Rattus norvegicus: one gene and its partner. The protein of the gene in region 1 binds, or shares a complex with, the protein of each later gene. Links are inferred from orthologs where the notes say so. Each region holds a gene or a part of one and is shown on either strand. Other genes may lie near its edges.

Evidence for each region.
Region 2: the proteins of Cd40 (region 1) and Cd40lg are in contact, whole or in part, in a crystal structure (PDB 3QD6), measured with the Homo sapiens proteins. The link is inferred for Rattus norvegicus from reciprocal best matches to the Homo sapiens genes CD40 and CD40LG. Residues at the interface, in NP_001241.1 of Homo sapiens: Glu64, Ser65, Glu66, His76, Cys77, Gln79, Tyr82, Asp84, Asn86, Leu87, Trp109, Cys119; in NP_000065.1 of Homo sapiens: Ile127, Glu129, Ala130, Lys143, Gly144, Tyr145, Tyr146, Cys178, Pro217, Cys218, Gln220, Ser245, Gln246, Ser248, His249, Gly250, Thr251, Gly252.

Annotation. Positions count from the first base shown.
Region 1 is NC_086021.1:174,208,351-174,212,263, forward strand, and holds the start of Cd40 (tumor necrosis factor receptor superfamily member 5 precursor), read left to right. Parts: upstream 1-1,411; 5' UTR 1,412-1,436; coding exon 1,437-1,487; intron 1,488-1,573; exon of another isoform or gene 1,574-1,981; intron 1,982-3,913.
Region 2 is NC_086039.1:140,163,335-140,167,247, forward strand, and holds the start of Cd40lg (CD40 ligand), read left to right. Parts: upstream 1-1,006; 5' UTR 1,007-1,073; coding exon 1,074-1,229; intron 1,230-3,112; coding exon 3,113-3,244; intron 3,245-3,913. UniProt on the Homo sapiens protein: Cytokine that acts as a ligand to CD40/TNFRSF5. Costimulates T-cell proliferation and cytokine production.

The DNA of each region.
Region 1 (3,913 bases):
GGGGTAATGTAACACGCCTTCCTTCCCCGTCTTGCTTTTTCTTTGCAACCTGGTCTCTCAGCAAGGCTCGGATGTTCAGTTTGGAGGATCAGCATTCCAAACACCATCTAGTTCAAAGTTCCTGGGAGGGGACTGAGATGGGGATTGGCACTCAAGTGAATGCACCCGTCTCAGAGCTTGGATCAGAACCCAAGCCACCCTAGCTGCAGAGCAGATGTGAACCCTGGTTCAAGAATGGGGGCAGTGGGGGCTGGGGATTTAGCTCAGTGGTAGAGCGCTTGCCTAGGAAGCGCAAGGCCCTGGGTTCGGTCCCCAGCTCCGAAAAAAAAAAAAACCAAAAAAAAAAAAAAAAAGAATGGGGGCAGTGGAGTGTGGAGGTGTGGGGTGAAGACAGTACTAAAGGTTCCTACGTGGTGGAGGGAGATGACTAAATCCCTTATAATGTTCTCTGACCGCCATACAGTCTAAGAGGGGAGGGGGGTGAGGAGGAGGAAGAGAGCAGGAGAAGGAAGAGAGGAGGAGGAGGGGGAGGGGAAAGGCGGAGGGGGAAGGAGGAGGAAGAGAAATATGAATGATGACTAGTGGGTGGTACTGGGGGAGGCGACACCCAGAGTAAAGTGCCTGCCACACAAGCATGAGGACCAGAGTTCAAATTCTTGTTCCTGACACCTCCCTACCCCGTACCCTCTCGTAACGTTAATGGGGAATAGGGAGTGTCTCTAGTCTTCTAAGGGTTCTCAAGGAGCCTCTGATCCTATGAAAGGCTGGTCCAGATGGTAAATGCCTGTCTCCAGACTCTGGATGGAGCCGGGATGGGATAGAAGTCCGTGGGGACACGTGAGTGGCACGCATGGATGAGAGGATGGGATGCTGCCCCTATTCGTGGGAATTTCCTTCTCAAGAAAGAGAAACTGAGTAGGGAACTCATTTCCTTGAATCGCCTCCTGGCCCTTCAACTGTGGTCTTTCCCGTTTTCTGAGTTTGCGGTGATGCTGGGGACTTCCTTAGACCTCTCTGGAGAGGCTTTCGGTTCTGCAGAGATTCCCGGGGGTATTGGGGTGGTGGGGAACCAAGAGCGTGGCGCTCCCATGTTCCTAAGTAATCCTTCTCCCCTCTGCTCCCTTGCAATCAAGAGAGTCTTTAGCCCTGCTGTAGGTGGCTTTTGAGGTCCTGGTGGAGTGGGGTGGAAAAAGGGCTCCTTTTGAGACCACTCCTCGTTCTGCCACCTTGGTGCCCATCCCTTAAACTCCTGTGGGCAATTAGACTCCCGGGAAGGTCCTGGGGAAATCCCTGCTCAGTGACTAGCCAAAGATCCACCGCGATTGGTTCCCGAAGACCCCGCCCCCTTCCTGGGCGGGACTCCTAGAAAGGACTCTGAAGTGACTTGTGGCCTCGTTGGGACCCCTGTGATCTGGCTGCTCTGATCTCGCTCTGCAATGCTGCCTTTGCCTCAGCTGTGCGCGCTCTGGGGCTGCTTGTTGACAGCGGTGAGTGGTTTCTGTTCTAACCTCCTAGGGGAGTTAGGTCTTTGAGAGTGAGAGATGGAAAGAGGCGACAAGACTTCGGAGATGAGCGATCTTCCTAGTTGATTTGGGAAAAGCGGGAAGCGGTGAATAGGATGGGCAAGATCTCTCGGGTCTTGACTAGAAAAAAAAATGAGGTAGACTACCCCACTTTCCGCCTAGAAGGTTGGGTTTCTGCTCCACACAGTCCACAGAGGGCGCTTAGGGAGGGCGTTCCTACACAGCGGTGCCCGGACTGCTTTATTTGATCCAAGCCTGGGCTCAGGAGCTGGCCACAGAGACTGGAAAGGGTTAGCAGACAGGAAAGCCTGGTTAGGGGAAGGGGCGGGTCTGGCCTGTTTCCTGTCACTTTCCCATTGTGGACAGATGTCTGCCACCAGTGGTTATCTTCTGCTTGCCAGTAAGGGCCACTTTCAACTAGAGAATCTTGTGGGAACAAGCCCCCAGGTACCTTTTCGGTAAGAAGTAATTTAATAACGACCATACCTGTATCCTAGTCAAGCCAATCTAGAGAAATCGCCAAGTTTGTGTCTCTGCCTCTTGAACTTAAGATAGTACAGGAGACACTGGGACAATAAGGAGGAAGGGGGGAGGATGCAGAGGAGGAGGGAGAGGAGGAGGAATAGCTTTAGAACCCAAGAAGAGAGAAAGAGACCAGACTGGGTTTCTCCAGGCACCAGAAGGGCTCAGACCCAGTCAAGCAATCAAGCACGTCTCGGGGATTTTCAGTCAGCACTCGATTCACTTTTGGTTTAAATGTGTTTCTGCAGTTCCTCATTCTGGAGTCTGGGAATCCCCTGATTACCTGAGTCTCATCCCCTCTCCTCTGTTGAGGCTCCCCTGGCTTTCTAGCACAGTAGATTCTTTTTGGTTGGAGACAGAGACTTGGGTTATTTCATGGGCTTTGAATTGTCTATGCAGGAAGTCGTCCTGTTTCAGGCCTGGTTTACTGCAGCTGGGATAGTCAGTGACCTAAGCGCATACTTGTCAATCCTCCAAGGTCGCCTATCCCGGGTTGGCCTCAAACTCCTGATCTAGTCGAGAATGACTTTTAGTTTTTCTTGTTTCTGTTCATGCGCGGGTTGTGTGTTTGCATGCATTTGTGTGGGAACACATGTGTGCTTGCATGTGGTGGCCTGAAGTTCATACTGTGAGTCATTCTTGGACACTCTCCCCCCCTTACTCATCGGGACAGGGTCTCGATCAAACCTAGAGCTCCCCATATGGTAAATCTCACTAGTCAGCCTGCACTGGGGATCCCCTGCTTCTGCTTCCTGAAGCTGGAGTTATTGGGGGGGGGCACTGCAAAGGCCTGGTGTTGCACATGTTTCTGGAGATCTGAATTCTGGCCCACACATTCACATGGCAAACACCTTACGAGCTCAGCCATCTCTCCTGTCCTTGAATCTCTGATCCGCCTGCCTCCACCTCCCCAGTGCTGGGACTACGGGCATGCACCACCATGCCCAGTTTTATGTGGCACTTACAATGGAACCTAGGCCTTCTTGTATGCTGGGCAGTCACTGTATCAACTGAGCTACATCCCCGGCCAGAGTAGACTCTGGCGTGTGGTCTGCCGAGGATTGATGTGGAGGTCGCCAACAGGAGAGGAACAAAAGTGAGAGACTCGCTTTCCTGGCTTTTACTTTTACCCTAAGCCAGTGGTTCTCAACCTGTGAGTCGTGACCCGGGGTGGAGTCTGAAGGACCCTTTCACAGAGGTCTTCTAATACTATCAGAAAACACCGATATTTGCATTATGGTCCAGGGCAGTAACAAAGTAACAATTATGAAGTAGCAATAAAAATAATTTTACAGTCCAGGGTCACCAGGACTTGAGGAACTGTGAAGGGCCACACCGTTAGCATGGTTGAGAAGCATTGCTCTAAGCAATGACTTTTAGGGAGACAGGATTCGGGAAGAGGGTGGAGTGCGTGAGAGAGAAGTGGATGAGGGCCTTTGGGAAGGATGGAGGAAGGAACAGGGGTGCGATGAAGGGGAGTCTGGACCACCTGAGAGCACAGTCTGCCCTCATAAGCCCCAATCTGGGCTCCAGGGAGGGGCTGGGCCCTGACAGAAATAACAGGTGCTCTTTACTGAGATCTTCCTGTGCATGGGGCTGTGAGCGAGACTGTGTATCGCCTTCATTTGAGTTCTCGCAACGTCTCTGTTACACAGATGACCAAACTGAGGCTCAGAAAGGGGAGGGGTTTTACCCAGTCTCTCGACGTCGATATGAATCTATGCCTGCCTGACTTCTGAGTTTGCCACTCACATGCAAGGGGTCTCCAAGCTGTGACCCTGAGACCTTTTGTGGGGGAAGGACCATTGCTTCAGGGCATGGAAGCTAGGGCTGACAAGCCATCAGAGGGAAGGTGTCTTTTTCAAAGA
Region 2 (3,913 bases), on another chromosome or scaffold:
AACAGTTAGCAATCATTTGGGAAACTCATTTCTTAAGCTATGAAAACTATTAAAAATAGGGATAACTGTATATTGTATAAGATGCCTCCAAAGTCTTTTTCTTAAAATCTTTATTCTGTCTTCACCAAAACCAATGGGTTAGGCAAGACAGGTGGCTGCCCTTTGTGTAGGGGACCTAGAGAGGCAAAGTGAATCACTCAGGGTCCATAGGAACTTATTAGCACAGCAAGGACTAGAGTCCAGTTTCTCAGCCGAAGCCACACATCAGTAGCATATGACTGTGGAGACAGGGAATGCGGCCAAGTCAGGCTTATCATTCTCCTTTAGCTCCACTCCCCAAGCTTTTGTCTCATTTCCCAAACACTGTAGCTAGATTTGCTTTTCAGCAAAGGTTTTTTTTTTTGTCTGTTTTTTTTTTACACAAATTCTCTTTCTAGCTACATCTTATTTAATAAATGCAGAGCCCTATGTTTTTTGCTTTATGATATGTAGTTTTGACTAGCAAAGCTAGGAAGATTTTATTGAGTTTAGAGATTAAAGAATCAAAGTCTTGAGAAGCAATTAACAGGCAGCACACCAGGTGTGAAATCAATCCTTATTTTTGCTAACATCTGTCTATTTCTTTACCTTTATACCAGGTTCCAGATTTATGTTAGTAAGATTGAAATTGAAATAAGTTTATTACTTGTGGACTCATTTGTCACTTTCCTTGAAACTGGTGAACCCCAACATTTAGACAGCAATAGGAAAATACTGCCATTGTCTTTTAAGAAGTCTGACATTTCAAGGCAAGAATGAATGTATGGAAGAAGAAACTCGTTTCTTCTTTACTAACAAAAGGGAAAGCCTGGAAGTGGATGATATGGGTGTAATTTTAAAAAAAGAAAAGAAAAAACCTTTACGTAACTTTTTTGCTGGGACAGAAGACTACGAAGCACATTTTCCAGGAAGTGTGGGTTGCGACGATTGTGCGCTCTTAACTAATCCTGAGTAAGGTGGCCACTTTGACAGTCTTCTCATGCTGCCTCTGCCACCTTCTTGGTCAGAAGACACCATTTCAGCTTTCAGCCAGCATGATAGAAACATACAGCCAACCTTCTCCCAGATCTGTGGCTACTGGGCTTCCAGCGAGCATGAAGATTTTTATGTATTTACTTACTGTTTTTCTTATCACCCAGATGATTGGGTCGGTGCTTTTTGCTGTGTATCTTCATAGAAGATTGGATAAGGTAAGGTGATCTACAAATCTGAATGAACTAAATTGGGGGGTTCTTACTAATTTGTGGATAGGTTGAGCTAAGTTCTACCCAAATGATGGAGAACAGTAAACCCTTTAAGTGGATTATATTCTTGTGGCATGTTACTTGTTGCCTAGATCTCAGAATCTGAAATCAGTCAGCCTGGCTTCGAATTTTAGTTTGGCTTTTAACTGCATTGAGATTCTGGACACGTCACTTCATACTTCCATTGCTTTTTCTGTATCAGGGAAATAGAGGTAGACTTAGTGCCCATGCCACAGAGCAAAAGATTCTAGCCCCGAAAAGAATAGTGCCTGGCCCAGGGTAGTACATGCTGGACCACCAGCAGCAGTTAGTTCCTAAAAGGTGCTTCCTTAGTAAACTATTTTCTCCCACAAAGATAACTTTAAATGAGCCCCACGAGGACAACTTTTAAAAGTGAGCCAGAGAAAAAGAGCATTGATTTGATCTGAATTTCCACTGTGTTTTGAATTAGTACAGACACGGACAATGCCCCCAATCTGCCAATTTTTAAAGTCAGAATGGTGCAGTCTGTCCCACTCTTCAATGCCAACTGCCATTGTAAACTGCTCTGTACTCCTCTGAGGTATTTTACGTGCTTAAATGATTGGATAGATAAAGACAAGAGAGGACAAGAAGGGTGCAGACAATTTAAGAAAAGTAACTTCAGGATTTACCCTGCTCCCTTGTGCTGGTTCATATCCACTGAGGGGCATATGGGCTATGTTATGAAATGCTAATCACAGATGACTAGGAGAAAAGCAACCAAGTATCTAGTTGTTCCTACAAGGCTGGAAGTGACAGTGGCTAGGTACCAACAAATGGGTAGCAGTCTTCTCTCTGGGGCACTGGCTGCCCGTTTTTTGAGATGAGGGCCTAAATGAAGGCCCTAAAGTTTCTATCAATATAAGAAGAGGTAGCGACGGTAATGAGAGTGGAGATAATCTGCTTGCCTGCTCAACTGGATTTCACAGAGGAACAAAGAGACAAGTTGGGTATCTGATTGTTCGTTTATTCATCTGTGACCTGCTGGGCTTCATCAAATGCCTGTATAGAGATAGGCCTTGAGGATAATGGGGAACTTGTAGCCCACACAGACTCAAATGTGCTGTAATATTTAAGTGAACTTTAAATGACAGTTTCGTGCTGTAGTTCAGAAGGGTCTGGAGCTCAGTACATATACCAGACTGGCTTTTAACTCACAGGCACACTCCTGCCTCATCCTACAAGTATAGAGTTTACACATGTCCTACTATACCCAGATTGGTTCTTGTTTGGAAAGTTAAGAATCTGCACTTAAGACACGAAGACGTTGTATGGAATTCGTTGACAACATGAGTTAATGGCATATATTAAATTACTCAAGTATTTAAAAACAAAGTATCGCATTCACTTTGTTGAGGAGAGATAATTTTTTTTAAAATGCAAATGCTTTCTACAAGTTCTGAAGAAATGAGAGGTGTAACTATAAATTCATGCTGTGAGCGAACTCCTTTGTACTGGGCCACGTTATAAACACTACCATGAAAAGGGAAAACTACTCAGCAGCAAACTACTTTATGGCTGGCGGGGAAAAATGACAGTTATAGGACATTGCTGTTGTGGTAGGCTGAGATGAAAAAGTCATTAGAATAGCTGTGATTTCTATCCAGACGCACAGGTAATATGACATCAGAATCACCGGCTTTTTAGCTGCTTAAATGGCAAGTACCGAACAGCAGGAATCCAGCACAATAACTTCTAATATTCCCCCATTCCCCCTCTGTCAGTGCCGTGGAAGCGAGTGTGAAGGCAGGCGTGATTAGCTGCATTCTTCTTCATTATGGTTCTCATCAGCCTTTCTTTCAAAACAGGTAGAGGAGGAAGCAAGCCTTCACGAGGATTTTGTATTCGTAAAAAAGCTAAAGAGGTGCAACAAAGGAGAAGGGTCCTTATCCTTGCTCAACTGTGAGGAGATGAGAAGGCAATTTGAAGACCTTGTCAAGGTAAGGTGCTCAGTGCCTGGCGGATTTCACCGAGAAGTTTTAGTACATTTCCCAGTTGTGCAAACTGAGTTCTGACCCTGCAAAGGTTTAAACTGTAAGCCGGGATAGTGGTCACAGCTTCGATCTCAGTGCCCAAGAGGCCAAAGTCAAAGGAAAAACTTCCAGGCCAGCTTGGTCTACAGAGTGAGACATTATCAAAATGTGTTGTATATAAACATGCTTGTGCACATATATACATGCACACGCATATGTGTAGGTGTGGAAATGTGTATATACAAAAAGAAAGAAACGAACACAAAGCCTTAGGCTAAAAAGCAGAGCAGGGCTGAGTTGGACATGTGCAACCAAAAAGGTTTTCATTCCATGTACAGAAAATATATAATCAGTTAACAGAGTAAAGAGCTCAGGAGCTTACTTCGTCTGTAAATTCATGACACACATGGAAGTCACAGGACAACTTGCGAGTCTCACGTCTTTCCTTCCACTGTGTGAGTCCTGCAGGTTGAACTCACACCTTTAGGCTTGGCCTTTACCCGCCAAGCCAACTTCATTGTCCTCTTCAGACCTTACTTATTTCGGAACTTAATATGCATTCTCCTGTATGGAAGAAGATTCTAAAAGCTCATTCCTAAGTCACTTACTGGGATCAGACTTCAGTTCAAATATGCC